Struthio camelus: one gene and its partners. The protein of the gene in region 2 interacts with the protein of the main gene of each other region in a biochemical or structural test. Links are inferred from orthologs where the notes say so. Each region holds a gene or a part of one and is shown on either strand. Other genes may lie near its edges. The genes, in order: GAB2, AKT1, HSPB1 and FOXO1.

Region 1 (7,380 bases), on a different chromosome or scaffold from region 2:
GGTTTTATAGGAGTGGGGACTCCTGGCCACATCTGAATGCTCTGGACCCCTACTGAAGGGGGCAATTTGATTAAAGCTCTAACACCCTTAATACAGAATCACAGAATCACAGAACGGTTGAGGTTGGAAGGGACCTCTGGAGTCCAACCTCCCTGTTCAAGCAGGGTCACCTAGAGCACACGGCCCAGGATCACGTCCAGGCTGGTTTTGAATATCTCCAGAGAAGGAGACTCCACTACCTCGCTGGGCAACCTGTGCCAGTGCTCTGTCACCCTCACAGGAAACAAGTTTTTCCTCAGGTTCAGATGGAACTTCCTGTGGTTCAGTTTGTGCCCGTTGCCTCTTGTCCTGTCGCTGGGCACCACGGAGAAGAGTCTGGCCCCATCTTCTCGACACCTCCCCTCTTCAGATACTTGTACACATTAATGAGCTTGCCTCTCAGTCTTCTCTTCTCCAGGCTAAGCAGACCCAGTTCTCTCAGCCTTTCTTCAGAGGAGAGATGCTCCAGTCCCCTCACCATCTTTGTAGCCCTGTGCTGGACTCTCTCCAGCAGTGCCATGTCTCTCTTGGACTGGGGAGCCCAGAATTGGACACAGTACACATTGGACACATACATGGCATGGCCATATAATATCACCATCTCTATACTAAAAAGTGATAGGGCACCACCAAACGAGACACAGTACAAATGAAGGGCACAGTTTTCCAGCCACTGCAGACTTTCCACGTGACACAGCACACTTCACTAGAACTTTTCTCTATTTAACTGGAACTAGGAAGTAAAGAAGGGGGGGGGGGGGAAAGCTGCCAAGCTGCCTATCTAAGAATAAATGACTTCAAAAAGATGATAGAGGCAAAATTCAGCAACTTGGGCCCATGGTCATACAGGAAGCCAGTGCAACCAGCATGACTTGGAGGGAAGTCCCACTGACCACAACTCCGGGACCGGAGTATAGAGAAAACCCCTTGAGTTACATATGTCCATTGCTGCTTCCTGACCCACTAACATTGCATAGGACGACCGGGTACATTTGGGAATGGCTGAGTTTCCTCTTGGGGGAATAATGATGTTTTCAAAACATAGGTGGCTTGCAAAGCACTTTGGGATGCATCTGCATGAAAAGCACTCTTATGCACATCAATAATTAGCACTAACCACTAGCATGTCACACCCTCATGTATAGCATTTAGCAGATTTATTCAGCTCTTGCTGGAATGCCAGAGCACAAGCTAGATATTCAGAAGGCGATGTGAGCGCCCTTTCATTGAATAGATGTTGGAGAGCTAATGATGTTTGATGAGTTAAGGCCACTGGTGACTCAGTATCAGCAATTAGTTGATTTCTGCGGGAGGAAGGTGCTTTGCTCCATTAAGCTAAAAGCATCCTCCGCTGTTCAGCATGCACAAAGTCAGTCTGTCCATCTTGCAGAGAGCTGCTTACATACATCAGGCTTTGTCTCAGTACATTTAGGGGGCAGGGAGGGAAGGAACTGGATTTTCCCTCAACTCCATCACACATTCCATCTGCAGCCTGGAACCAACCCAACCCTCCCGCAAAAGGGACCAGGCACAGCAACGAGTGGATGGCCAAGAGCAACCAAGCATGGTCCAAAGTGAGGAAATGTAGCGCCGCTGAAGTCTACGGTGCTGCACTCATTTGGGACTAATGCTCAATCATGAACCAGTTACCTCCCTATGGAACGGGTCTACTCATACCCACCACCCTCTCTGGGGTATGCAGCGGTGCGTCAATCAATAACACGTCTATGGCACAGGGGAGACCCCAGCGACGCTTGTCCTGCCTGCGCTTCCCAAGACGCACAGGGGCAAAAGCAACAGGAAGGAAGGACAACTTTGGTGGTGCCTCTCAGGAAGGAAGGGTATCCCAGGAAGCAAGAGCATCCCGCTCGCGCTGGATGCTGCGGTGCCAAGGAGCCGAAACCCGGCAGAGTTGAGTCACCGGAGCCAGCGCGCAGCACTCAGGGACTTCATCTGCCGAGTCACAGGACGGCAGCTTTACATAGTCGCGTTCCTGAGCTCTGGGGCTTGTGGCGCACTGGGAGAGCGTCAGGCGGCGGGCGCAAAGAACAGTTATTTCTTTCAAGGAGTCGGGAATGTGACAGGGCTGGCATTTGGACCCTTCTTTACAACTTCCTTGAACTGTTTGATCTCAGCCGCTAACGACACACACACACACACATAAAAAAAGGCTACCAAAGTGCTACTGGTGCAATCTTCAAAGAGTTTGAACATCAGATGATTAACAGCAACCGCAAGCGGGGAGGGGGGGAAGCAGCCGTTACGGGGTGCGGAGCGGTGGGGGGGGGGGGGGAAGAGATCCGCGTTATTTTTATTATCCCGTAAAAAGCAATCTCCAAAGGCGCCCAGCGCAGGTGGGGGGGGGGGGGGGGGAATCCAGCCACGGCGGGTAGCGAGCGCCGGGCGCCAAGCGCAAAACCACGCGAAGAGCCGAGCCGCCGCCGTGGGCAGCCGCGGCCGGGCCGTGTTGACCCGCGTGGCGCCCGCAGCGGGCGCGCACCCAGCGCCGTCCGCGCTGCGCAGCGGTGCGCAGCGGTGCGGAGCCGGCGGCCGGGGCCGCCCCCCGCGGAGCGGCGCGCCCGGGGCTGCGGCGGCAGGTGCAGCCGGCGGCGCGCGTGTGTCCCCTCGGGCCGCTGCCCGCGCGTGTGTCCCCTCGGGCCGCTGCCCGCGCGTGTGTCCCCTCGGCCCGCTGCCCGCGCCTCCCACCCCCCCCCCCCCGTAAACCCACTTACATATCTCCGCAACTTCTTCTCCGGCGGGGACTTGCGGAGCCAACCCGCGCACACCACCTCGCCGCCGCTCATGGCGCAGAGGAGCGGAGCGGCGAGCGCGGGGCGCTCAGCGCCGCCGGCAGCGCTCGCCCATCACCGTGGCAGCCGCGGCCGCCGCCTCCTCCCTCCTGCTGCCGCTCCTGCTGCCGCCGCCCGGCTCTGCCGGCAGCCTCCTCCCCCCGCCGCCTTCCCAGCCCCGGCCAGCCGCTGCGAGCGGGGAAAGCAGGAAACTGCCTCTTTTTTTTCCCCGGCACACCACGCCTCCCTCCCTGCCAGGCGAGCCTGCTTTTATTAAAGATACAAAACCCCGCACACGGCACTGGGAAGGGGCGGGCGGGCGGGCGGGGGGGTGGAGGGGGCGCTCCCGCGGCGGCAGCCCCGGGCCCCCGGCGGCAGCTGGGTGGTCGCCGGGCTGGCCGAGGGCTCCTCCTTCCCCCGGAGGTGTTGCCGCTCATTTCGGCCCGCACTGGCGCACAGGGTGTGCGTATGTAGCTGCATGCATCTCTATAGGAACTTTAGCGTAGAGCAGGTGACCTCCTGGAGCAGAGCAGATCCTGTCTGAGCCGGGATCTTGCATTGCAAAGCCCCCCACCAAGCTAGTTAAAAATAAATAATAAGAAAAAAAAAAAAAACACCCCAACACCCCACAGGATAAGGATATGGGGATTAATCACTAGATTCCCCCCCGCTCTTCCCCCAGACGCTTCCCCTCTCTTTATGGATTTTGTCCTTCTCACCCCAGGGAGGAGAGGGCGGCTTACACCCTGCAGTGGTTAAGGGTTTTGTGGGAGATGTGAAGGAGCCGGAGGAAAACAAAGAGGTGGAGGCAAAACACGGTCAAATGCCATGCTCTAGCAAAAAAAAAAAAAAAAAATCCTCCTGGAAAAAAAAAAAGGAAAAAAAAAAGGAGAGGAATCAATAAAAGCTTCATATTTTATTATTGATTTTTAAATAATGGAGCAGCACCCACTGAAAGGGGATTTGACTGCCACTGGAGTCTCATGCAGACAAGCTGGGTTTCGTATTACAGTGTATTATACCCTAGCTGAGATTTAGCCATCCTCTTCCAGATCTAGAAACGCTGTGCGCTTCAAGGTCTGATCCTCTCCCCATCCGAGGCACCAGCAAAACGTCCCTTCGCAGCCCTGAGAGGAGGATCATGCTCTAAACCTTCTTTTTGCCTTTCCTTAGAAGCGAAAATCTGGAAACAGCGCTGATAGAAGTTTGCTAGCGCCGAGCGCTCTCAGCTCTCAACGCCTTCACGCTATCCACGTACCGGGAAAACACAACGCCGGGCTGCTTGCCGGAGATGCATTTCCCCAGCCTGCCTCTATATGACAGCTCTGCCCCAAACCTGCTTGGGCACATTAAATCGTCCCTCCCTGCCTCAGTTTCCCTTCGTGGCGTTTTGTCAACTTGTCCAACCCACGTGGGCAGGGACAGTCTCTCGCTTTGTACTGTATCTGGTGCAATAGCACCTAGACGCCGGCTCACACGCCAACACTGTTCGAGCAGGGATCTTGCATCACTTTACAGGCAGTAATTACAGCTTGCAGTGCCTCGGAGGGGTAGGGATGACACCTCTTCTCAAGATGGGGACAACACAGTTAAGCCAGGTGTTGTTTACCATCTTCGTGAACACTGAAAGGAGGGGACTAACCCCTTAAAGAACAAGTATATCATTTTTTTCAACCATATTTTTTTCAAAATGCTCGTCCTTTTCCCATGGGTGAAATGCAAAGTCTGTAAAGAAGCTTTTCCACCTTTTCACCGCCCACATCGAGGGCTCGGTCCTATTTAAGCGTGGGGCAATCTTTCCATAGAGGCCAACTCTTGTCAGATCAGCATCTCCGAAAATACGCTCCGTCTGACGGGACTGGGAACCGGAGAAGACAGAGAGGCCGCTTCTCGGCCGACACAAATCAGAACTGCTGTATTCAGTGGACTGGAGCGGTATCAATTTACGCTGCCCGAGAGGCTCACCTGTAAATCTATGACGGGTTACAAAGGCGCTTTGCACGTTCACAGGGAGAATCGCTTCCCAGCGACCGACCTTCTCAGCCCGAGAGGTCTTCCCAACAGCCAGGGCAATTCCAGGAAAGTCAGCAGCTTACCCTGGGCTTAGGACGACATAATCGAGCATGGACTATCGGCTCTCATTATGAATACACTGGTACCGTACAAACCCCTTCCAAAGCATATGTTAATGAGTCACAGGTTAGGAATTCCCTCATGCTGACACTGATGCAAAGTGGTATCAGTCTTCAAACCGGTCACAAAGAACCCCGGCCGCATTTCTATGCTAACAGCTCTCAGCACGCAGCATCGAAAACACTTTGTTTGGGCGATAGGCGTTTCAATGAAATGTTCCGTAATTCTCATGGTTTGCACGGAATTGAAGGGGAACGAGTAGTCACACGTTTGGCGACAGCCTTGGACTGCGTTCTCCTGCTCCCTTGCTCCTTTTGCTCTGCTCATCCCCTACTTTGGGTCGAATTTATTGACCTTTTTCTATCACGAGATATATCCGAACAGCGTTCGAAAGATGAATTCCCCCCACGGATTTTGCCCTAACGTCTTGGCCATGCACGTACCCCAGGCTGCCGTGACTTTCAGAAGGGAAAGGAAATAGGCTGCATTTTACGTGCTCTGAAACACACTGCCATCGCAAACATAAAATGTAAGCTCTATGCGGGGGGGGGGGGGGGGGGGGGGGGGGAAGGCCGAAACGACGACACTGCATGTGAATGCGGCTGCCTGATGCTGCCACGGCTGCGCGCGGAGTGAGAACAGCAAGTTCATTCTGGCATCGCGCTGCCGCATCACATTTTATACCATGCACGTCATGTTACAACGCTTCTTACTGCTGGTGCCACTTAAAGCATCTGGCCACACAAATATTACTCCAAACGCTTCTAGGACTTAAAAGACAAAGACACAGCTCTAATTTGGCAGCGCTCGCACGCCCGTGACAGTTTTCCCAACTTCAAGCTGCTCTTGCACCCGACGGCAGAGCCTGAACTAAGGCTGGCCCCAGCTGACGGCGTGAATCTCCCGAGTCGTGAGCTAACAGCCAACAGCCCCGGCTGAAAACTGCAAAAACCACCTCCTTGTGCTGCAAAAAAACACGCCGAGGGGGTTGTGCGAAGCAACTGAGACTCCTTCTCTGCCAGTGGGACCAGCAAAAAAGGGGCAAAGGCAGAATTAGGAGGCAGACTGAGGGAGAAATTAAGAGAGATCGTATATAAAATCATATTCCTCACACGAGGCTAGGGCAGTTCCAAGAAAAAGCCCCCGGCGCCGTGCTTTAAGCACGCCGAGGTGCCAGAAAAGGAATGACACTTTCTGCTGCAGAAACCTCTGTTTTTTTAATCACAGTCTTCAGCGTACTTCCTTGTTCTTGGCCGTAAGGGAACCGAAATGTATGTCTGAAAAATCACAACTTCTAAGAAACAAACCACAACGCCCGCCGCTGCTCTTTGCCTGCTCCAAATTTGTTTAAATGAGCTGTGCCATCTACTGGCAGCAGGGGAAGAAAGCGTGATTTCTCCCCTCCACACACCAGATTTTTAGTGTGTAAGCAGTAAGGACAGAGACGCAGGGCATTTCCTGGGGATTAAGCACCAGCTGGGTGAAATGCTTTGGGCTACTTACCCCAGCCAGGCACTGATCTCTTGGAAATGCCCTATGCTGAGGTTAATATAAACCTAAACATACTGGAGGGGGACAGGCTTTAAAAACGAGCTGTGCTGCTTGGCGATACGTGCCTGCTTCTCATCCGGAGCGAATGTGCGGTCTCTTGAGATCCAGCTCCCCAACAATACGACCTGGCTTTATCTTCACCAAACAGCTCCTGCAGCAGAGCTGGAGGCAAACAGCTTCCTTTATTTCACAAAAAAACGTTCAAGGTTAGAAATTCATCTCTTCCAAGGAGAACTTGAATCTTGCCACCCTCCGTAAAAGAGCACGGCGAGCCCCCCAGAACAGCCCGTAATCGAAGCCAAACCACAAGACCGTCCTTCCTCAGTGCAGCTCCAGCAGCACTGGCTGCTTTCCATGAGTTGGGACAATCGTAGCGCAGGATGCTCTGAGATGACTAGACCATTTGAAGCATCGTTGCTACCGTGTTCTGGCAAAGACAGAGGCATCAAAGCTCTGACGCCTCAACAGAGGCTCAAAAAAGGGAGAAAGGAAGAGATGAGGCAGGGGTCATCAGTGTCCAAGCTGCACATGCACTCTTGGACTTATCAGTCCAGTTGCTAGTAGTGAAGAATAGGTGTTGCTCTTCCAAGACGGTGATGTGAAAACAATGGATCAAACCCGCTTCATCCCCTTTCTGTTGGGGATTACGGTGAAATCCTGCACATCACCACGGAGGCAATGCGCTGGGCAGCACTGGGAGGATGTCTGGGTTGCTGAGCTGGACCTTTCTGCGGATGCAGCTAGGCCAGGCTCCAGCCTGTGGAGCTCTTCCATTCCTTACACTTGAAGATAATTAAATGGATTTTCCTATAGACGAACCACACTCCAAGCTAAAGCCCAGTCGTGTTTCCCTCGCTACATTGGCTAG
Region 2 (7,647 bases):
AAGCAGCGTGGACTTAACTGGTTCTGGCCACAGGGCAGAACAGCCACAAACCCACATGTAGTCACAGCCGACAGAAACAGTGTAGATGTGACCAAAGACTAGTAAAAGCACTCCAAAAAGTTCTGTGACACCAGAAAGTCAGGCTGAAGAGCAGATATCAATGATTCCCCTGAAGGCAAGTGGTAGCACGAGCTCAAACCCGGTTAGACACCGGAGAAGCACATGAGATGCCCAAACTGCAGAGAAAGCTTTGAACAGCATTTGTGCTCATTAGACACCCACAAATGCAACCAACGCAACACAGTTGCATAGGGAATTGTATTATCAGGGTTCTTTCACAGGACAACTTGTATTATAAATAAAGCAGAAACTATACTCTGCTGTCGCTCCCCAAGCTGTTGGTTTTTGGCAGGTTTCTGACTGGCATGACTGCAGAACTGAGGCTGCAGCTGAGCACTGAAGTAAAGAAAACACTGAAGATATGAATTTGACTTTCCTCTCCCTTCCCCTTTGCCTGCTTTTATTCGGTTCATGGTAGTGTCATCTCTTTTACATATGAGGTGTGAATACAGATGATGACATGACTAAATGCAATTTTATGGCTGCAGTATCCAGGGGGTCAGACCAGAATGATATTGGAACGGTCACTTCTGGCTTTAAAAGTTTCCAAACTATAAAATTTTGATGAGGTGATTCAAATGCTAGCAGATTTTTGTGTGCATGCAGATGCCATTAAAAATGCACTGAAGAAATTAAAAGCAATCCCTTCTCTGCTAGCATTCATGCACAAATAATAAAAAAATCTGTCAGTGCAGTGGTTAAATGTCATGTGTAGATATATTTTAAAGGATTTAGGAAGCCTCTGTCATCATAATACCGGAAATCTTAACAGCTAGATTAAGGCTCTTGATCTCAAGGAAATTGTAAAGATCATGAGAAAGACTGCGTTTTTCTGTACTGGCTTCCACCTGGAGCTCAGTTCATCTAGACTGCAGCGCTCCGAAAGATCTACTGCTGTGCCTATGCCTGGCAGCAGAGCTGCTGCTCCTTCCACTTTTCCATAGGGAGATTTGCAAGGGCAGTCACTAATACTGCACTCAAGTTCATTTGCCCACCTTGTGCTTAACCATATAATTTTAGATCAATATAGCATAATGAGCATTGGGTGTGTGAGTTGAGAATGCAAGAGACCTGATTTTGTTTTTAATGGGTATAGAACATGTGTATACAACTTCATTATTTCAGTGTCAGAGGATTTTCCTTTTCGAATATAGTTAAGATTGTGATGTTTCTTTAAGCAGGTTATTGCAGTTTCAGCATTTTCAGGTATCTTCCCAGAACTAAGAACTCACGAAATGTTGTTTTACAAACAAGGAGGGGAAAAAATCAGCAATTTGGAGTAGACTTTGCTTCCTTAAGATCAAAGACTGTTTCTTCTGCTGTGTCTGTGCAGTGCCTAACATTTCCTGGTCCAAAATGGGACTTGTGGTTACTACTGTAACAACAAAAACAGCCGTGGTTGGCGTATGCGACAGAACTGATATATTTGCTATTTTTGTACATTCTATATCTAACTAGTGCATTTTCTGTGCAAACCAATTCAGTTCCTGTTTATTTACTGAATTCCCCCTAGCGTGTTTGCTGCCCTGTGGCTATCATTATTCCAGAGGAAGAGAACTGCATGGTTCTCGCTTTGGAGTTTGTCAGCACCATTCATTACGGAGCCAGAAAAGCTCTTGGAAGGACTGTGAAGTATGCCCTCTTCCTCCTTTTCCAGCTGGAGAAGGCACACTGCCACCCCAGCGCTGCCCAGCCTGAGCATGCTGGCAGCTGGGAAACAGAAGCTCCTGTAGGTCTCCTGTCTGACCTCTGGGAGGGTCTGTAATAAACCCTGAAGAAGAGCTCCCAAAAGATGTTTTAGCAAACAGGGACAACTCAGATCTCTGGTCTTCCAGTTATCAATTTAGCTAACACTTGAATAGTCTTTCATCGAATTCAGCACAGAAGTACAAACTAAATCATACATGTATTTATTCACAGTATAACTTTCTAAAAAGCAGAATGACAATGTTTCAGTATGATTACATTTATTCTTTTTTTTTCCAGATAGCCTACCTTTGTTTTGCTCTTGAGAAAACGTCTTCAATCATTGGATTTTTTTTCAATTTTAGAAGTGCAGCTATGTTTATTATATTTGGCAGCATGAAATGAATGCACTTTTAAAAAAGTTTGTATTTTTATTAAACTAGACTTTCATCTTAGACCAAACATGAGCTGTTTCTTTAAAAGTTACAAATGCCTAGACTGAGACACTAGTGCCACAACTCTAATAGGACTTCGCATAGCTTTTTTTTTTTTTGAGCCCTGTTTGAGTAGAGCCCACCTTTCAAAAAGGGAGGAATAAATTCACTGTTAGCACCAAAAGGCACTGTCAGCACTTGCAGTCATGGAGCACAACTTGTTCTACTGGGGTGAACTCAGTAATTCCACTCCATCTTACCATACTAGTCTTTCCTTTTATGCCTGACTGAATAAAAACGTTTTTTATCCAAAGCTGCATAATTTCAGTGTTTTAAAATAAAGTCTTAAAAGTTAGATCAGATTATTTGTTACTTCCATATTTGTTAAAAATGGGTGAGAACATGAGTGTCTGTTCTTCCGGTACAGTATTGATATATTGTCTGGCAATCGACCATTCTTTGCCTCCAACCCCTACGTTCAGTATTTTATGGTAACATAATACCAAGGAACAGTTGATGCACCTTATCCCATATCAGTTACTAAATTAGAGTAAACAGATGTGAAATTTGAGGAAGCGCTTAGGGAAATCTAGGGACTTCCCTGAAAATTAGGGTTTATAGACTATAATCCCATTGATGATAACTGAATGACAAAACCCCCATTGTTTGCATTTATAACAATTCTTGAGTGATTTCATTGTTCTCAGAGGAAAAAAAGGCCTGCTTTTGTTCATTGTTGTTACAAAGTCACCCTTGCTGTTGCAGACCAGGCACTTCCTACTTTACCTGGGTATTTTTATCCACATGACTTTTCTGTGTTTCGGAGATAAGCCTTATTCCAAACCCCAAATCTAAGTGTTGTCCCCCCCCTCCCCTCCCCTCCTGCCCACCATTTGGGGAATGTCAGATCTGGATCCAAACTTTCTAGTTTGGGCCTGTCGTTCATCATTGTAAATCAACAGTTTGCAAATCTAAACAATGTGCTCGTGTTGATTTTGGGTTTTTTTACTGTATTTCCTTTTTAGCAAACAATGGAGGTTTATTTTCTTCTCTTTGGGACTGAAAACTATGCTTGCTGTATGACCTTATTTTTTAAACTGCTGCTTCATTTGCAGGGGAAGTCCTAATGACCTTGCTCACGATGACAACCCGGGAGCTTATCAATCAGAACAAGGTTTGGCAGAGAGGCAAGAAAGCTCTCCTGCAATCAGATCTATTACCAGAGATCCCTCTGCCTATACAGAAGTTTCCTACAGCCAGTGAAGTCCTCTGCTTACACATGCTCTTTATTGCTCGGTGTAATCACAGGCTCAAGAGTCAAAATTAGTTTCTAAATGAATTTTCTTCTTTATTTTTGGTTAGTTTCTACACATGTCCCCTCAATATGCTGCAAGCCTCTCACACTGATGACTAATTTCCTTCGAAAGATATCTTTACTACCTAAATGCATTTTAATCTATGCTAAATATTCTGGACTTAATGTACAGTATGTAGAAATGGGACGACAGTCCCAGAGAGTCTGTTGCAGGTTTCTCTTTTCCTTTTTTTTTGCCCTTGTACATCAGCATGGGAACAGTTCTCCTGCCCGTTTCATTCTCCTCTTGTATAAACCGAAATTTTTCCACTGCATCACTAGGTGAGGATCTAACCCTAAACTAGGTACTCCTGTAACACAGGGTACGCTTCTTCTCCTAACTTGGCTGGTAGTATATTTTTAAACCCGCTTAAAGGCCCCAGTACTCCTAAAGGAGAGCCATAGAAATACAATACCGGCTTAGCACTTCCACGGGGAGGAACTGGCCTGCCCAGTGATGGAAAAGGAGGTCTCGTTCTCCCTCCCTCCATCCTGAGCGAATGTGAACCCTTTCCTCCTCGTTCCCATTCCTGCCTCCTCCAGAGCACTGATGTACACAAAACCCAATGATCCGTTTGACACCTGGGCACCCAAGAGGCAGTCAGAATTATTTAGACAGACCTAGATGCTCAGAATGGAAGAGGAAAGTATATAAGCCGTGAATTTTGGTAAACGTGTACAGTCATTCAAAGGACATGGTAGAAATGCCTCTTACTACCCAACAAAATAGATTTGTTACCAGCGTGAATGCAAGGTCATATTCCCCGGCTTTACTGCTGTAAATGCACTTCATGCACCGTGAGTCTATTAACACTGCAAAGCTATGGGAAGGTTTTCCAACTTCTAACCAGCTTCCGGTTACAGAAACGTGACCATCCGCCGCTGTCGGCTTCCGAACAGACCAAATCACTTCTTGCAGCCCGGTCAGAGCTGCCGGCACTGTCAATGAGAAAACAAACAAAATCCTTAAATTAGCAAAGAGGGCAAAACTAGCTACTGGGAGCGCCGAGAAACACCAACTCCGTCAAAGGCACTTCCACAACACGGTTGTCCAGAGCGCAGCGGCCCTCAAACCCTGAGGAAGCGGGGCGAGGCGGCGGGCGGCCGCGCTCCGCGCCTCACGGCCTCCCCGCTCCGGACAGGGCCGCCGAGGTGTTCTCACAGGCACCGTCGCGCCCAAGTATTTAAGCAGCCGGTCGCGGGGAGGTGTGAGGGAGGTCCGTGGCCGTGGGGCTCTGCCTGCCTCGACGGCTTTGGGGCGGCTCGCTCCCGCCGAAGGCGCCCAACGGCTTCCTCAGGTACTTCCGAGCGGTGCGGCGCGGCCTGCGCCCTGCCGCCGGGCGGGACGGCGGTTCCGCGGGAGCCGGGCGACGCGGTCCTCCCCCGCCTCCCGCCGCCGAGGGGGGCCGCGGCGGGGCTGCGCGGGGCGGGCGGCGCTGACAGGGCCCGGCGGGCGCTGCCTGCCCTCCCCGCTGCCGGAGGGGCGGCGGCGAGCGGCGCTAGGACCCGGCGGCGGCGGAGGATGTGAGCGAGCGCGGCGGCGGCGGCGCGTGTGGGGCGAGCGCGGCGGCGGCGGGAGCGCGGCCCCGTGGCGTGGCGGGGGGAGGCGGCGGCGGCGGCGCGGGCATCCGCCGCCTCGGCGGCTGCCGGCAGGGGGGCGGCTCGATCGCGCGGCGGGCAGGCGGGCAGCCTCCGCCTCCCGGCCGGAGGCAGGGCGGCAGCGGCGGGAGCGAGGCGGAGCGGAGCGGCGGGCGGGCGAAGGCAGGCCGGCAGCCGGAGCGGGTGTGGGAGCCCCATGGGCCGAGCGCCCGCCAGAGGGGGAGGAGGAGCCGCCCCACCGCCAGCCGCCCGGCGACGGTGAGGAGGAGGCGGCGGCGGCTGCCGTGAGCCCGGTTAGGCCTTAGCTCGGGAGCGTCCGCCTCGCACCCCCCCCCTCCACCTCCCTTCCTCCCGCCCTCTTCCCTTCCCCGGCAGCCGCCACCCTCTCCCATCACCTCCTCTCCCCGGGCTCCAGGCACGTAAGTGACCCGGTCCCCGGCTGGCAAGGGCTGCGGGAAGGAAGCGCCGGGGCCTGCTCCGCCGCGCCGCGCCGTGCGGGGCCGGGAGGGCAGCGCGGGGCCCGGGCGGCGGCCGCCGGTTCGCCCGCTGACCCGCCTAGGCCGCGGCCGGCGGGGGTGGTGGTGGTGGTAGTGGGGGGGGGCTCCCCCGCCGCGCCCCCCCCCCCCAACGCGGCCGGGCTGCGGCGCCCCCCGGGCCGAGGAGGAAGGTGGGGTGGGGGGGAGAGGCGGGCTGCGGCCGGCCCCCGGCGGGCGTCCTGCCGGGCGAGCGGGCTCGGGGCGAGCAGGAAGCTGTTGGCTTCCCCGGGATGCGGTAAATGGAAAGTGCTGCGGGCGGGGGGGGGGGGGGGGTGTCCGGCCTCCCGGCCCCCGCGGGGGGCGCGGGCTGGTGTGAACACCGTGCGGCAAACGAAGTAGCCGAGGCAGCTTTCCCCGTCTTCCCCCCCTTCTTCATCTTCTGCCGCCGCGTTGCGGAGCCCTTTCTGGCTGGCGGAGCAGCGAGGGTTTGCTGCGGGGGGTGTGCTGCTGCGCGGGGGCGTCTGCCGTGCGGAGGCTGCTGCGCAGCGTCGGCGGACTTGGTCTGTGCAGTCGTGCTTCGCAGACCGCTGTCTGTCTGCAGATGCCCCCTTCTCCCCCCCTTTCCTCCCCCCCGGGTGAAATTCTGCAACTGTTGAAATGTTCTTGGGGGGGGGGGGCTTCTAGCACTTTTGCTTCTGTTTCTTTGTAAAAACACGTAGTGTAATCCAGGATGTGAAGATACTGGGACTTCTTTTTTAATATATGTCTTACTGGCAATACGGTATTGATGCTAGTGTGTTTGTACCTTATCAGTATTCCCCTCCCCCCCCCCTTGGGGAAAGTGTTTAACTGTTTTCTTTTTGCTTTGTTTTTCTGCCATCCCTAATATATAATGAGAAGCAAATCCCTGATTTGCCCTTGTTTGTTTTATTTATACCACAGGAGGGATGTACATTTCAAAATACAGTTATAAAGGGGAGTTACTAACACTTAATTCAGAAGAATATTTGTTTACAGGTAAATAAATTTGACGTACTGCATGACTAGTAATTACTTTTATGTAGGAATTAATTTCCTTATGACAGCCACAACATTTGTCTGAGTTAATAGATTTAAAGACACTGTGGAGCTAGCTTTCATTTTTTTTAAATAGGAGGGTTTTCATTGTGTACAGTGTTTATAGAACTGCTTTTTGATGTGCAGCAATGGTAAATCAAATTGACCTAATGTCTGCATGTAACCTGTAGCTCCAGCATTCACTTTCTGGCTTATATAATGCCCTTATTACAGTAAGAATTAAATAGGATCATGACTGACTTCGTTTGTTTGGTGGACAGAGCAAAACTTTTGTTATGAGCACTTTAAAATGGAATTTGATTAAAATGCTTCTTAAATTAGTACAAAAATTCTGTGCAGCACAGTTCTTATGTGAGCGTAAACTGCAGAAGGACTTGTTCTTGTTTGGGAGCATAAAGAGGATTTTGTCTAGCCTGTGTCTCTGACACAGTATGAAGAAGTTGTCTCTTTTCTACCGTCACTCCGTTTTGAAATAAGTAGCTTAGTTTGTCCTATCAAACTTTAGCTGTGGTTGCAGCTTGGACAGCTGAATGTTGTAATCCGGGCCCCTCACCTGAACAAAATTAACCTCCTGTCTATTGATCAGTAGAGACACAAGAGCACAAGGCATTTCAAACTGCTGTTTTGTAAACCGAGGTTACGCCCATAGACTGAAAGAAGGTGGGCCTGGTTTTAGAGATTTGTCTTTTACCCTCAAATTACGGTTTTTCCGATCGCTCTCAGTATTAGGGAAGTGTTTCCATTCCTGGTGATAAGCCGCATGTGCCGTCATGAAATACCTGTTTAGATGTGGTGTTATTCTTAATCGAACATCACATGGGCCAATAGCAGATGTTAGTGGCCTGTCTCAAGGCCCACAATGCATTTTGTAAAGTAAGCGAAGATGCTGGAACAGACTGGT
Region 3 (6,910 bases), on a different chromosome or scaffold from region 2:
ATCTGGTCTCGATGCCACTTCTATCTCACAGCCGGGGCTCCTGACCCACCTTCCAGTTGTGTGGCTTGTTCCTCGGGTGCGGTTTCCCCCCCCCAATTCACAGTACAGCCCTCTCCCCAGGAAGTACAGCCCTCACTGAAGGCTTCGACTCCCTTTCTGGATGATGCTGCCACTGGTTGCCCTTCGTTGGCATATGTGGGGTAGCTGCAATTCAGGGTGGTGAAGGACACAGGTGAGCAGGACACAGCAGTGCAGAGCAGGCAGGATCTGCCCCAGCCACTATGGCCACTTTTGGCTCCCGGTCCCGTTGCCTCCCCTCTCTCAGCCTAGGCCAGGCAGTTGCTGAAGCTCCTTGAGCAGCAGCAGGACACAGCTTGGATGTCAGCTTAGGTTCCAAAAAGAGAGGGAGGAGGGTCCCGTGAGTATGGGACTTTGCTGAGAAGCGGCAGAGCTGGGATGCTAGCTGGTAGCCCTGGTTTTGCAGAGCTTTCCTTCTGTTGATTTTCCAAAAAGCTCTTCTCAGCTGCCCAGGAGCTGAGGACGGCAGGAGGGCTTGCTCCTGCATGACAGCACCCTGGGGCTGTTTGCATTTAATCTGCATGGGCCACGCATTTTCTGCCTCACTGGAGAAAGACGATACAGATGAGCCTCCTTTGGTGGAGAGAGCAGCTGCCCGGATTAACCCATTGCCCCCAGATTGAAAGCTGGGCTTTGTCAATCTCTCTTGACATTAGTTTCCAGCCTGCCTGGCTGGCTCGAGGGGATTGGTAGGACCAGGTCATCCTTTTTGAATCCTGCTCAGCCTATAATGCAAAGGCTTTGTTAGTCCATGGCTACTGCATGATGAATTGAAGGTCTCAGGAGGCAGGAATATGAGTTAAGCCAGGATTGCATCTGGGGCCGGCCGCTGCTGTGCAGGGCGGGGGTGGTCACGGTTTGCCCAGCCAGCAGAGTCCCTTGTACTCCCCTTTCCAAAACTGCCACTGGAGAAACGGAGCCAAATTGAGAAACAGAGGAGTCAGGCTGGGAGGATAGAGAGGGGCCTGCATTTGGGGTTGGGTGATGGAGGTGCTCCAGGGCACCTGGGGCCAAGCAGGGTGGGATGAAAGGGGGAGGGTCTGGGCACAGCTGTTTGGTACGGAGACAAGAGCCTCAGGTTCATCTTCCAAGCCCAGCACAGGCTGCTTTGAGAAACTGGCTCCTTCTAGGCAGGCAGTGACTAATGTTTGTGCTGAGGCCAGGACAATTCACCAGACCTTGGAGAACTATCTCCAAGGCTTGGATCATCTCCTGAGCCAAGCTCCGTGGTTTCACAGCCTGTCTCTCCATGCAGCCAGTCCTGCTGCACTTGCTCAGCTAGCAGACCCTCTTCCCCCGCTGGAGGTGGCTGCTGTCTGCAGCAAAATTTGCTTCCTGGCAAATGTTCCTTTGTGCGAGGACGTGACAAAGCCTCACAGATACCTCCCAGAGGTGCTGAAGGTTGGGCAGGGACCAGGGAGAGACGGGGCCTCATTGCGATTCCAGGCTGGTGCGCCTGATCTGGAAAGGAGCTGAACCAATTGCCCAGAAAAGAAAAGCAATTAGAAATGGATTTAACAGGTAAGAAGGAGAAACGATTGTGTTTCTCAATTGCTTGGCTTGTTCCAGCATATTAACCTGAAAGCCCCGGGCAGGGCAGCACCCCGGCAGCGTGCTGGGGCACACGGTCCGGCCGGGCGCAGGTGGCAGGAGTGCCGTGGCATAACCCCTCGCTTCCCTGCGCAGGGCTCCCTGGCTGGGACGGGGCGTTCCCGGGGCGCTGGCGACCGTGGCGGCTGCGGACCAGCTTGCCCCAGCTGTCTGTGGGCCTGGCCTGCCCGATGTCCCGAGATGCCCCGTTGCAAAGCTGGAGAAGGGGGTGCAGTGGGCCTGGGCGATGCAGAGACAAGGGTGAGCCGCAAGGGCTCGTAGGGATGATGTTTCTGCAAGCCACAGCGTGGCAGCCCCGGGCAGCACAGCACGGTCGGGCCGTGCCTTGCCCTCCCCGGTCCCTGTGGGTTTCCTGCGCGGTGCCCTGCTGGCACCGTGGCTCGTCTCCTCCTTGCAGCCCCCCCAGCCCCGCCAGCATCTCCTGGACAGGTTGCGGGGGCGTTTTGCACCCGCTCGCCCGCTGCGCTGGAGCAGGGGCAGCCTCAGCTGTGGGCTCCTGCTGCCGCCTTGCACCGGTCTCAGACTGCCTGTGGGAGCCCCAAAATGCCTGATCGAGACAAAAAAAAAAAAATCAGAGTTTGAACCACTGGAGAGGGTTTATTTTGTGGCATTTTTACACCAGCCTGAGGAGGGCCGTTGCCAGCCCCCGACAAGGCGCCTAGGTTGGACACACACTGTGCCAGCAACCCCGTGCGCCCCAAAACGCTGCAATTTTGGCCTCTTCTCCCTCTTCACCCCCCTCCTGAGCAGAGGCAGCGGCCGGGGAGCGGGGTGGGGGGCTCTGCCGCCTGCACGCCCCCCCAACCCCAGCGCCTGTCCCCGGCGGTGGTGTCCCCGAGCCCCCCCGCCAGCCCGAGTCCTGCTCTGCGACAGCAACCCGGCTGCAGCGCCAGCACCGACAAAGACAGCACATCAGGGAAAATTTCCAGTCTTCCTCTTTTACAGTCCCTGTCTCCTGCCCGCGGAGGGAGCTAACTGGAACAAATACTCCGCAGGAATACTTCAGTGTTTTCCTCGCGCGCGCGCGCTCTCTCTTGGGTTTTTTTTTTTTTTTTTTTTCCGGATTGTGAGTACAGCTGTAGATTCGGTGAGCTGGTTCAGTTATAATAAAACATACAGTATATATTGTAAATGACTCTGCCGGGCCCGGAGCAGGTTGTTGTCAGCGAGGCCGCGGCGCGGGGGCTGGCACGGCGTTAACCCCGCTGTCTCGCCGCAGCCCTTCCCGGGCTCCGGCGCTCTGTCCTCTGCCTCCCTGCTCGGCCTCCGCGTCCCCCCCCACCCCGCCGCCCCGTCGCGCTCCCTCCTCGCCTCCCTCCCATCCGCGCGGCCCCTCCGGCGCCTACCGCCTCCCCCCGTCCCCACGGGGCTCCCTGCCAGCTCCCCGGCAGGATGCGGCCCTCCGCATCCAGCTCTACCCGATTCGGCTGCTTTTATCCATTCCCCCCCCCCACCAATTCTGCGTGGTTTCCATGGCAACACGCCGGCTCTCCCAGCAGCTCCCCTTCCCCAAACAAAAGGGTTTGCCAGCGGCTGCAGCATGTGGAGGTGGGTGCTGGCACCCCACTGCGGTGGTCATGGGGGGACCCCCCCCTCCTTCCCCTTCCCCAAAATCTGCACCCCTGCCAGGGCATCCCCCCCTCTCCGGTCATCACCACGGCCCCATCAGTGCCCTGCGTCCTGCTGGGAGGGGATCTCTGTGTTCGTGCATCCCTGCAGTGAGTGCATCAGGTCTCAGCTACACCCCTTCCCCTGGTGTCGGCCGGGGACAGGCCGCTGGGCGAGAGCCTCCTTCCCGCCGCCCTGGCCTCACCCCTCGTCGGGCCCCGGGACCTGGTTTTCTGGGGCTGCCATGAACTGATTCATAGGCAGAATATGGGTCAAAATATGGGACGAAGAGGCGAAATTTTAGCGCTGGGCCTCAAAAGCAAAGGGCTGAGGCTGCAGCGAGCTGGGAGGGGAGTTGGGGGTGGGGGGAGGAATGAAAAGGTGGCCTGAGGTTGAAGTCCAAGCTCAGCCCTGGGGAGGCACCTCCCCGGCGGGGGGCTGCCGGGGGGGGGGGGGCCTGGAAGGTCCCGCTGGATTTGGGAAGGGGATGGGGGGGGGGGGGTCTCGGCATCGCTCTCCAGGCGGCAGGCAGGCCTCCCTGGCTGGAGGGTGAACGTGAGGGCAAAGGGCTCCGGGAGGGAGCCGTCCTCCCCTTGTCCCGGAGCGGCCACCACCCCCCTCAGCCCCCATCGCTCTCCATCAGCCCCACTGGCCGCAAGTGCCCCCGTTGGGCCTTCCGAGCCCCCGGCAGCCCCCGTTAGTCTCCTTTGGCCCCCGTCAAGCCCCATCGGCCCTCATGGCGCCTCATCTACCTGCACTGACCCCTCACTGGGCCCCATCAGCCCCACCAACCCCTTCTGGCGCCCATCAGCCTCCACCGGCCCCGGTTAACCCCCATCAGCCCCACCAGCCCCTACTGGCCCCATGAGCTGTCACCAGCCCCTGTCACCCCCCCCGTCAACCGCCGGCAGCCCCCGGCAGCCCCTCCTGGGGCCGGGACTGTCCCCCCCCCGGCCGCCTCGGACAGAGCCGGCTGGCTTTAGGGGCGCCGTGCCGCGGCCGGGAGGGCAGCAGCACGGCTGCCGGCCGGGCCGCCGCCGGCCTCCGACGCTCCAGAAGCTTCTGGCAGCGGCAGCGCCGGGGGGGAGGGGGGGGCGGCTGCTGGCTGAGGCCCCGGCGCGCCGCGCTGCCTCCCGCCGCCCTGCCAGGTTTTTTTAACGGGAGAGGCCGGGAGCAGCGGCCTGCCGGGGCGCGGGGAGGCCGCGGGGTGCCGGGGCACTGGCGGCTGTGCGCGGCCGCTCCGGCCTGGGAAAGTTGGCAGCGCCGGCTTCCTCCTCCTCCTCCTCCTCCTCCCCCCCCGCCTCCTCGGCCCTCCTCCGGCCGCTTCTCGGCCCTTCCCGGCCCCTGCTGCAATTTCCATTAATAGCCAGCTGAGATGCCTGGCTAAAAATAACCGCCCGCCCTCTTCATAAGGCCCCCGGCGCCGCCCCGGCAGGAGCCGCAGCCCCGGCAGCCCTCCGCACCGTGCAACATGGCCGAGCGCCGCGTGCCCTTCACCTTCCTGCGCAGCCCCAGCTGGGACCCCTTCCGGGACTGGTACCACGGCAGCCGCCTCTTCGACCAGTCCTTCGGGATGCCCCACATCCCCGAGGACTGGTACAAGTGGCCGAGCGGCAGCGCCTGGCCGGGCTACTACCGGCTGCTGCCCAGCGAGAGCCCGCTGGTGCCCGCGGCGGGCTCGGCCTACGGCCGGGCGCTCACCCGGCAGCTCAGCAGCGGCATCTCCGAGATCCGCCACACCGCCGACAGCTGGAAGGTCACCCTGGACGTCAACCACTTCGCCCCCGAAGAGCTGGTGGTCAAGACCAAGGACAACATCGTGGAGATCACCGGTGAGTCCTCGCCGCGCGGCAGCGGCCGGTTTCGCTGGCCGAGCGAGCGGAGGGAAGCGGCGGGGCGACGGTGTGGGCAGCTGGGGGCTGGCGGCCGTGGCCGGCCCCGTGCGTTTACCCCCCACCCCGCAGCGCCGGCGGGGTCCGGGCTGCGGTCCCCCAGCCGGTGGGATTTGGGCGCCCCGCTCGAGGCCTTGGGGCCAGCTGGGGTGCAGAGCTGGGCTGCCACCCCTGCAGCCGGGTTTGGTCCCCGCTGCCAGGAGCAGCTCGCGGCCCTGGGATTCGGGGACGTCCCCGTGGAGGCCCAGTCCCCCGTGCTGGGGATGCAGGAAGGGGAGGGCAGCCCAGGAAACCCCCCGCTGCCATTGCACAGCGCCGCTCCGGCCTGCTGTCAAGGCAGAGAAACCCACTGCCTGTCGCCTTGTGCCCGTCCCTGGCTCGGTGGGGAGCAAAGGTGAATCCCCCGTGCCGTCCCCCCCGCAGCACCCGTCCCACTCCTGCCTGGCCAGGGGGGGCCACCTGGCCCCCCGCCTCCCCGAGGCACCGCACCAGGGTGCTGCCCTGGGCATGGTGGACCCTTGAATGCAGAGGCCTTTCCCGCCGCGGTGCCCCGCCAGCAGGCTTCACCCTGTCCTGGCTTTTCTTTTTCTTCCAGGGAAACACGAGGAGAAGCAGGATGAACACGGCTTCATCTCCCGCTGCTTCACCCGAAAATACACGTAAGTGCCAGAGTGAGACAGGACCCTGGCAGCCCCTGACCCCTTTGGGCACCTCTCCCATCCACCAGGTCCTGCCCCATCCCCTCTGGTGCCTCCTCTGGGCGAGCTGGGGTTGTTGCTAGCCCAAACGGGGAGGACCGTAGCCAAAAAAAATTGGGGCTGTGAAAAGCCCCGGGGCCGGGGCCTCACGGTGCTGACCCCCGCTCTCCTGCCCGCAGCCTCCCGCCCGGCGTCGACGCCACGGCCGTGCGCTCCTCCCTCTCCCCGGACGGCATGCTCACTGTGGAAGCGCCCCTGCCCAAGCCGGCCATCCAGTCCGCTGAAATCACCATCCCCGTCACCGTCGAGAGCCAAGGCAAGAAAGCAGAGGAGCCAGCCAAGAAGTAGCCGGAACCGAGGAGAAGGAGGGAGAGAAGCCGCTGCCTGCGCCGCTGCCCTGCACAAAATAGCTCCTCACGCCACCCCCCGCTTTCATCCCCCTTTTTACTCTGTATTTTGTACTCACCCCATCACTGCGTGTCTCAAATAAAGGAGAAGAAAAAAGTAGAATCAATCGGAATAAACAGCCATGAAATAAAGCCGCCTGGTGCCCTGCGTCCCGTGGGCAGCAGGCCTGGTGGGCTGGGACCCGTGCCGCGGGGGCACCGGGCTGGGACCCGTGCCGTGGGCGCCTGGGCTCCCCTCCGGCACGGCTGACTGAGCTGGTGGTGCTGGCCATGACGGGGCACGTGTGGGTGTTGCCGGGGTCCAGCACAGCTTTTGGATGGGGCACAGACCCTGCCTGCACTCACGCCTTCCCCATCCTCTGATATCCCGGGTCTCCAATATCCCAGGTCTCCAATATCCCACATAGCCAATATCCCATGTCTCCATTATCCTGGGTCTCCAAGATCCTTGGTCTCAACATCCCAGGAAGTCTCTGACATCCTGGGCCCCTGATATCCCAGGTCTCAGTATCCAACATCTCCATTATCTTAGGTCTCCAAGATCCTTGGTCTCAACATCCCAGGTCCCCAATATCCCAGGTCTCTGACATCCTGGGCCCCTGATATCCCAGGTCTC
Region 4 (7,579 bases), on a different chromosome or scaffold from region 2:
AATTACGGCGACATGCGCCCACCGCACCAGGATGCTATTTACATACAGCTTCCTAATATTTAATTATGTTAAAACAGGATGTGCACATCACGGGCTAAAAGTCGCAGGATACCCACTGCAGCGGAAGGGAGGGACAAGGGGAAATGCTCCACATCCAGCAAGTTAACAGGAACGGCTTTCCTGGTGGTAAGATAGGTTTGCAGGCATCGGAAGTGCTTAGTTTGCCAGAAGAAGGTGTGCGAGACTTATTCTGTGTTGAAGCAACACAGGAAGAAGAAGTAATAAAATAAGAAGCTCCTAATGAGAAACTCTGTTAGCAGTGTAACTTATTTGTTTGCTTGGATTTGGGAGTTTTGATTTTATTTCTGCCTTGATTTACTTACTCTCCCCTACTCATTCTGAAAAGGCAATTGGCATATCTTGACTTTCTTCCAGAAGACTGAAATACCACTGGAAAAAAACAGCATTTTCAAGTGACAAGCTACCTTATTCAAAAGTTGTCAGGTATCAGTCATTTTACTTTTGTTAAACTTTCTCAAGAAAGATGTCTTCAGACAGTTAACTTTTTGATTTTTCTGTCAGACACATAGATAGTAATTAATAAATTATTTTTAAAGCCTTCAGCTAAAAATTAATTTAAGATAACACTACTTTTCCTTAAAGGGATGCTGCCTACCTGTAAAAAATAAAAATAAAAAATAATAAAATAATAAAATCTACAAAAATCTGAGCTAACGCACATTCTTAGCCATGCAGTCAAAAGTATATGTATAAAAGTACACTGTTTGAGTTGATATTATTTTTAAAACACGAGTACTGCAGACACTAGCGAGCGAAGCGTGGCGTAGCGTAACTCAGAAGCAGACTGCTCCGCACCACCGCGGACCGCGCCTTGCCCTAACTGGAACGAAATCACGAACACAGCAGCACAACGCGCCGATACCGGGCTACGTGTGAGCACTTAACGCATTTATTACCATAAGGGAGCGGAAGGTTCTGCCTTCACGCAGACAGCTAAAGCCTACTCCAGCCACGGTCTAACGCAACAGTGCCACGACACCCTTTGCTCTAGCTCCGTCCTAAAATCAGGTCCCGGTGGGCAAGGTGTTCTTGACAGAGGCCTGGGAGGGCGATGCGTTGGCAGCAGCAAAGCTGCCCGTTCGCCACCCACGCGGACGAGGGGCCGCCGCAGCACCGTCCCGCTGCGCGCTGCCAGCCACCACCGTGACGGAGAGCGTGGGCTGGGCCGCGGGCACCGAGGGTGACGCCGGGAGCCACCTGCGCAGCGAGTGCCCACGGGCCTCGGGGATGGGGCAGGCTGAACTCGCCGCTCGGCCCCGCTCTGCGCAGGGTAGGGCGGAAAACCCTGCTGCCAGCGGGTTACTCCCGAGCTGCTACGTCTAGGGACGGCGCCGCAGGAGCGAAGCCTGTGCCATTATTGGGAAGGAAACCCCCGTAAGCCAAGCTTAACAAAACCAGCAGGGCAGATACGGCAGCTTACTTATTAAACGCGTGGTATTTCTGCAACCCTTGTCCTGCCTCTGCTCTTTCCCCATCGCTGGTGGTTTCTGCCCCCTCCTTCCCTCCCCCCTGCGGCCAGACGGCAAACCCCGCGGCGCCGGGACGCGGCACGGGCACACACACGGCACCGCCGTCGGGGACGGGCAGCCCCGGCGCCGCGCGGCTCCGCCACGGCTCAGCCCCAGCCGCTGCCAGGGGCCGCGCCGCAGCCGGGCCGGGCCGGGCGGGGGGGCCGGAGGTGGCGGCGCTGCGGCCGGCCTGGCCCGGGCACGGCGCGGTGACACGGCCTGAACTTTTGCTTTCGGCGAGGCAGGGCGGAGGGGAAGGCGGGGAGCGGCGAGCCCCGGCGCGCTGCCCCCACCCCCCCCCCACCCTCTGCCGGCGGGGGTGGGGGGGAGGCGAGACGCGCCTCCTGCCCTCGCCGAGCCCCGCTGGGGGAGGGCTGAAACGCTTTTTTTTTTTTTTTTTTTTAAAAAAAGATTGAGAGAGAGAGAGAGAGAGCGAGCCCGAAGCGTGCAGTCGGAGCGCAGCAAACTCCGTGCAGGGCAGCAAGCGGCCGGCGGACGGGACGGGACGGGACGGGACGGGAGCACAGGGCAGAGTTCCCAGCCTTTTGCAACACCGCGGCTCCGCGCCGCCTCTGGCCGGGCCGGCGCAGGGCCGCCCGCGGCAGCGTGCGCAGCGCCGAGCGCAGCGCGCCTGGCGGCACCTTACCGCCCGCCGAGCCGGGCCGGGCCGGGGGGACGTCAGGAGAGCTCCCCCGGCAAAGCAGGACCAGCCCCCCCCCCCCCCCAGGCGCCTCCCCGCCGCCACTCACCTTCCAGCCGGCCGAGCTGTTGCTGTCGCCCTTATCCTTGAAGTAGGGCACGCTCTTGACCATCCACTCGTAGATCTGCGAGAGGGTGAGCCGCTTCTCCGGGGAGCTCTCGATGGCCTTGGTGATGAGGTCCGCGTAGGACAGGTTGCCCCAAGCGTTGCGGCGCGACGAGCTGCTCTTGCGGGGCTGCCCGGCCACGGGGCCCGGCGACAGCCCGGCCACGGGCGGCGGCACCGGCGGCGGCCCCGGCGGCGGCCCCGGCGGGTGCAGGCGGCAGCCGGCCTCGGGCGCCGGGAAGTCCCCGCAGCGGCAGTCGGCCCCGGCGGCGGGCGGCAGCGGCGCGAAGTCCTCGCTCTCCTCCAGCAGGCTGAGGTTGCTGATGAAGTCGGCGCCGAGCGCCGCCGAGGCGGCCCCGGCGGCGGCCCCCGCCGCCCCTTCGGGTTGTCCGCCGCACGACGGCGCCGGGCTGGACGTGGCCGAGCTGGGCGCGTTGAACTCCGGCCGCGGCAGGGGCCAGGTGCAGGAGCGGGGCCGCGGCAGCGGCTCGAAGTCGGGGTCGATGTCCACCAGCTGCGGCGCCTCGGCCATGGCGGGGCCGGCACCGGCACCGGGACCGGCACCCAGCACCGGGACCCGGCGGGCAGCGGCGGGGGAAGCCTCAGCGCCGCCGCCCCATGCAGGCTCCGGCGGCGCGGCCGCCAACTGCCCTCCGGCTCCGGCCCCGCTGCCCTGCCCTGCCCGGCTCCCTGCCCTCCGCGGCGGCTGCAGCCACCCGGCCGCCCGGCGCGCACCGTCTGCAGCGACCGCCCCGCGCGGGCCCGCCTCCAGCCTTCCTCCTCCTCCTCCTCCTCGGCGGACGGCCAATGGCAGCGCCGAGCCGCCCGCCCGCCTCCCGCCGCGGGGCCGCTTCGGCGGAGGGTGCCGGTGCCCCCGGGCTGCTTCGGCGTGGGGTTGTGTTTTTTTTTTTTTTTTTGATTTTGGGTTTTTTTTCCCCCTTTGGCCGGGCGGCCGCCCGGAAGGGGCTGCGCGGGCGCGGAGCGGCCGGAGGTGCCCCCGCAGCTGCCCCCGGGCCGAGCGGCGCCCGCTTGCCGGACAAACCGCCTCCCGGGCGTGTTTCCGCGCCGTCCGCCGCTGTTTTCTACCGTGGGCTCGTACGTGACCTCGAGATAATGACGGTTTAAAGCCGCCCTTAGACACGCTTTGCATCACTTGCCCCAGCAAAGCCTAAGACATTTACGAATGGCTTAATTTAGGAAGGCTTTTATTCCCCCCTGCCAAAGAGGCAGCGGTTCCGGGACGTGCCACCTCTGCCTCCCAGGGCTGCAAACGGGCAAAGAGGTGTTCAAGGCAACGCAACAAGAAGTTACGTTCTGTCCAAAATTAGAAAGAAGACATTTGCTTGATCTGGGATGAGGCACGATTGCTTTTCAGCGCCTTGTTCAGCCCCGCTTTTTAGAAGTCCTGTCCTCTTTTAAATAGCAGCAGTACTTTTAACAACATACTTAAGCAGGGGTTAGTAAGGCACAAAATCCGCCGTTGTCCACGACGTTTGACATTACGTGTCAAAGGACCTGCTAGAGCGGGTAGTTGCCACCGTGAGCCAGTGAACATGTTACTTTTCCCTTGTCTCTGAATCCGGACAGAGAGCAGTAATGTTATTCAAATTTTTCCCGTAAAAATGTTTTCTGAGAATGAGCAGCGATAATGAAGGACGTAGAGTATGAGACTGAATTTAGGCCCACAGCATATAATTTAGTGGCAGATCACACATCTACGTACACGCGCTGTCTATTACAAAAACACTTTTTAAGTCACACGAGGACACCTAACTATATATATAGTTGGCGCACATATGCAAGAGTGCATAGTAACTGATCAAATTCTAAAGCTTTCGTCACGTTTGCTTTCCAAAATGCCGAAGGTGATTACACCCGCTTGTAAAATTTCAGAGCTGCTTTGCCTTTATGTCATCTCTATGTTATCCAAATCCTGTAAAGGATTCAACCCACAAATCTATGTTGTTTAGCCTACGGTTTTTAAAACAACCAGAGGGGATTTTTTTCAGTTAAAGAAAAAAAAAAAAGGAAACTAGTCCCAGTTCAACCTAATAACTTGCATGCCACGTTTCAGCTTGGAACAGATTTATCCGGCAGTGTTATACAACTGCGCTACAGTAGTTGCCCTGCAATAAGGGAGAGCACCCTGACTTGGAGAAGCACACATTATATAATGGAAGGAGAGGTGGTACGTGTGAGAAGCAGCCAGCGACGTAAGGCGAACGGACACGTTTAAAAGGGAGCCAAAACAAAAGAAGTGCCTGAGAACACTGCAACATTTTCTTTTCCTTGCCTGCCATTGGTGTCTGAAAAGAAGGCTAAGAGCTGGACTGGCACCCATCCTGCTAAAGGAAATGGATTTATTACCCAGGCTTTCTTTTAAGGATTTTTTTTTAAATCCTGCACTCATTGCTTTTTTTCTTTTTTTTTTTTTTAATCAAAAATATAGGTGTTATTCTCTGGCCTCCATTGACATGCCTAGATGTTGGAAAAATAGTTTTTAGTTGTCAGATACAAACCGTGAAAACCTGGAAGAAGATTGCTGCTACGGGATTTTCCCAAGTCCTGGTGTGTTCAGCCTGGTTCCTTTTGCAGGACAAGTGTATTTCCCCCTTTTTTAGCCCTATATTTCGTTGCTGTTGCTTACCTCCCCTTCTTGGAGAGGCTTTGTCACGATTGTGCCACATCTCACTGACATCCTTCCTTGCAGTTCAAATCTTACCAGTAAGTTCAGTTAGAAAACACTTTGTAGCGAGGGGTTAGGGATCTCAAGGTAGGTAGCAAGGAAACATAAAATCGGAAGGTTCAAAACACCGCATTTTCTTAACAAGTCAGGCCATATGACTCACGATACAACATACAGAGCTAGCTTCTGCACTGCTAACGTTGCTGGGGATTTTGACGATTGCACGCTATAATCTCTGGCCAAGGCCTGTAAAGGGCTGTGGAAGGATGAAGGCCTGTGAGACAGTGCTCTGCGCTTTCCTCGGATGAGTAACGCAGTCTGATCTGACTCCTGCGAAACTGCCTGGGTGAACGAGTCCCTCCGTAACGCCCCCGTCCCTGCGCGTGAGACCCTCTGCTTTCCGAATGGGAATGCTTCTCCGTGCCAAGGCATTTGGGAGCAGAGCCTTTCACGTCAACCGCTTCCAGAGTCAAAGCAACAAGGTCCAACACACACACGCCATAAATAACGTGAGGGAGGCTCAAGCTGCATGTTGCACCCCACTGCTCTCCCAGCACCTCCCAGTGCCGCTGCCCGCTCTCAGGGACGCGACGCCGAGAGCGAAGCCTCCCGTTCGGTTGCTGCCGAAGGTGGGCCTTCCTCCTCCTCCTCCTCAAGCGGCTCCCTGCATACAGCAATGGCTCAGTACAAGAGTTTTTTACCACATCTACAAATGACAGCGTTAAGTTTATCTCATCTCCCACAATGCCGAAATGCTGATGGATGCACCACAATTCATTTTCTACTCCCACGGTCCTCCTCCTACACTCCACCTTTTCATTTCTCTACTCCTACTCCTGCTCCCATTTTCCACTCCTCTACAATGCAATTTCTCCTATCATCCATAGCGTCGTCTTGTATTTTTTTCAAATTAAAGATTGCCTTTTATCATCACTGGGATAAAGCATAGCCTGCTATCCATATTCTGGGTTTGAGGCAGCCAAAATAGAGGGTCTCTACTGTCTTTTTACTCCAGTATGCATAATTCACTTCCTGAGGTTTTGATCAAATTCAGCCAGGGACTACATGAAGTTGAAAGCACTCGTATTCTATGTACAGCTCTTTTTTCAACATGTATATATATAGCAAGACAGTAGAAACATTTTAACAGAGCAAAAAGCAATGATGAAATACCAGCTTATGTTTGGTATCGCAAGAGCTGCTGTGCTGGGAGAAAGCTCATTCTCTGAGGAAGGACAAGGCAGTTTGGCACCTCCATTTTCCTCCAAAGTCTCTCCAAAGGGAGTAACTTTGGTTTGCAGTCCAGCAGCTTGGCCAAAGGCCTCCCACCACAGCAGGGTTTACGTGTGTCCCGTGTGGGCACGCTGCCTAATTTAAGGGAATTTTAAGAGCCTGAAGCCCTCCATACCCACCAGAAGCTGCTTACAAGAAATGCAGACTCCTCTGCAGCATGTTTCGGAGCAGGAGCTTAATTTCTGTGCTGTGAATTACCTGCTGGGAGCTTGCATCTTTTCCCCGTTAACCACAGAGGGAGTTTAAGGATGTGCTGATCCCTCACCACAGTTGTAGTGTTGATGCCCCCACTTTAGGCCCTGTGCCTTCAGGATCTGCCCAAATCCAGCCTAAACCTAACCATTCGCCTCCCTCACCTTCCAGCTGTCTGGCCGCTCAACGTAAGCCAGAAGCGACGGGTAGGAGAGTGCTGACTTCAAAGGGCGACTTGTGTGAGCAAAGCAAGTGGCATTCAGCCTTGCGTGATGCAAATTTTTCTGTCACTTCTTATTATCTATTTTATGCTCGTCCTGATAAGTCCCAGAAGGGCTGCAACCCTCCTGAACTCGCCAGTAAGAAAGAGGCCGTGCGCCAGAGCAGGCTAACAGGGCACGACAGGTAGGAGGCAAGAGAAAGGAGGCATTATTAGTCCTACTCTGCACGGGGGGGCTCGGACCACCACGAATTTATGTAAAGTGCAGAGGAAGCAGGTGCAGCGATAGACTTTGAATCCAGGTCTGTCAAGTCCCGGTCCACGGGGTTAAAAACATTCATTTCACCAAGTAGCTTTTAGGGATCGGTTTCGGATTTGAAGGTACCTCGTCCCAGCTCCGTGTCCTGCTACGTACAGACGAAAAGCCTGGACGCTCCCAGCGGAGGCAGCCAGACCCTCTCGGATTTACATCCATACGGCTGGAACCGGGGCCACCAACGTTTCCCAAGTGCCTGGCACGCCGGCTGCCTCTCACACCGGCAATTTTTTTTGGCGACGAGAAGCATCCCACCGTGGCGCGGCGGAGCTGGCCGCCTGCCTGCCAAACCCAGCCCACGGCGAGCTCCCCGGCAGCCTCCCCCCACCCCCCGTTTTCTCGGAGGAGCTGGGGAACAACTGCTAACGCGGCGAGCGCTGCCCGAGCAGCCAAACGCCGCCTCCGTCACCTACTCACCGCCTGCCGCGGGGAGCGGGGCCGCCGCTCTTGCAGCAGCTGTTGTATCCTCCTTAACAGC

The links.
Region 1: of the proteins of AKT1 (region 2) and GAB2, one has a biochemical effect on the other in vitro, tested with the Homo sapiens proteins (2 studies listed by BioGRID). The link is inferred for Struthio camelus from reciprocal best matches to the Homo sapiens genes AKT1 and GAB2.
Region 3: the proteins of AKT1 (region 2) and HSPB1 form a complex in vitro, tested with the Homo sapiens proteins (3 studies listed by BioGRID, with this or other methods). The link is inferred for Struthio camelus from reciprocal best matches to the Homo sapiens genes AKT1 and HSPB1.
Region 4: of the proteins of AKT1 (region 2) and FOXO1, one has a biochemical effect on the other in vitro, tested with the Homo sapiens proteins (4 studies listed by BioGRID). The link is inferred for Struthio camelus from reciprocal best matches to the Homo sapiens genes AKT1 and FOXO1.

What each region holds. Positions count from the first base shown.
Region 1 is NC_090942.1:220,164,868-220,172,247, reverse strand, and holds the start of GAB2 (GRB2-associated-binding protein 2), read right to left. Parts: upstream 3,004-7,380; 5' UTR 2,844-3,003; coding exon 2,772-2,843; intron 1-2,771. UniProt on the Homo sapiens protein: Adapter protein which acts downstream of several membrane receptors including cytokine, antigen, hormone, cell matrix and growth factor receptors to regulate multiple signaling pathways.
Region 2 is NC_090946.1:73,935,899-73,943,545, reverse strand, and holds the start of AKT1 (RAC-alpha serine/threonine-protein kinase), read left to right. Parts: upstream 1-4,629; 5' UTR 4,630-4,892; intron 4,893-5,022; exon of another isoform or gene 5,023-5,118; intron 5,119-5,314; exon of another isoform or gene 5,315-5,612; intron 5,613-6,611; exon of another isoform or gene 6,612-6,686; intron 6,687-7,647. UniProt on the Homo sapiens protein: AKT1 is one of 3 closely related serine/threonine-protein kinases (AKT1, AKT2 and AKT3) called the AKT kinase, and which regulate many processes including metabolism, proliferation, cell survival, growth and angiogenesis.
Region 3 is NC_090957.1:14,555,470-14,562,379, reverse strand, and holds HSPB1 (heat shock protein beta-1), read left to right. Parts: upstream 1-4,378; 5' UTR 4,379-4,768; coding exon 4,769-5,129; intron 5,130-5,784; coding exon 5,785-5,848; intron 5,849-6,066; coding exon 6,067-6,235; 3' UTR 6,236-6,401; downstream 6,402-6,910. UniProt on the Homo sapiens protein: Small heat shock protein which functions as a molecular chaperone probably maintaining denatured proteins in a folding-competent state. Plays a role in stress resistance and actin organization.
Region 4 is NC_090942.1:194,159,184-194,166,762, reverse strand, and holds the start of FOXO1 (forkhead box protein O1), read right to left. Parts: upstream 3,001-7,579; 5' UTR 2,927-3,000; coding exon 2,339-2,926; intron 1-2,338. UniProt on the Homo sapiens protein: Transcription factor that is the main target of insulin signaling and regulates metabolic homeostasis in response to oxidative stress.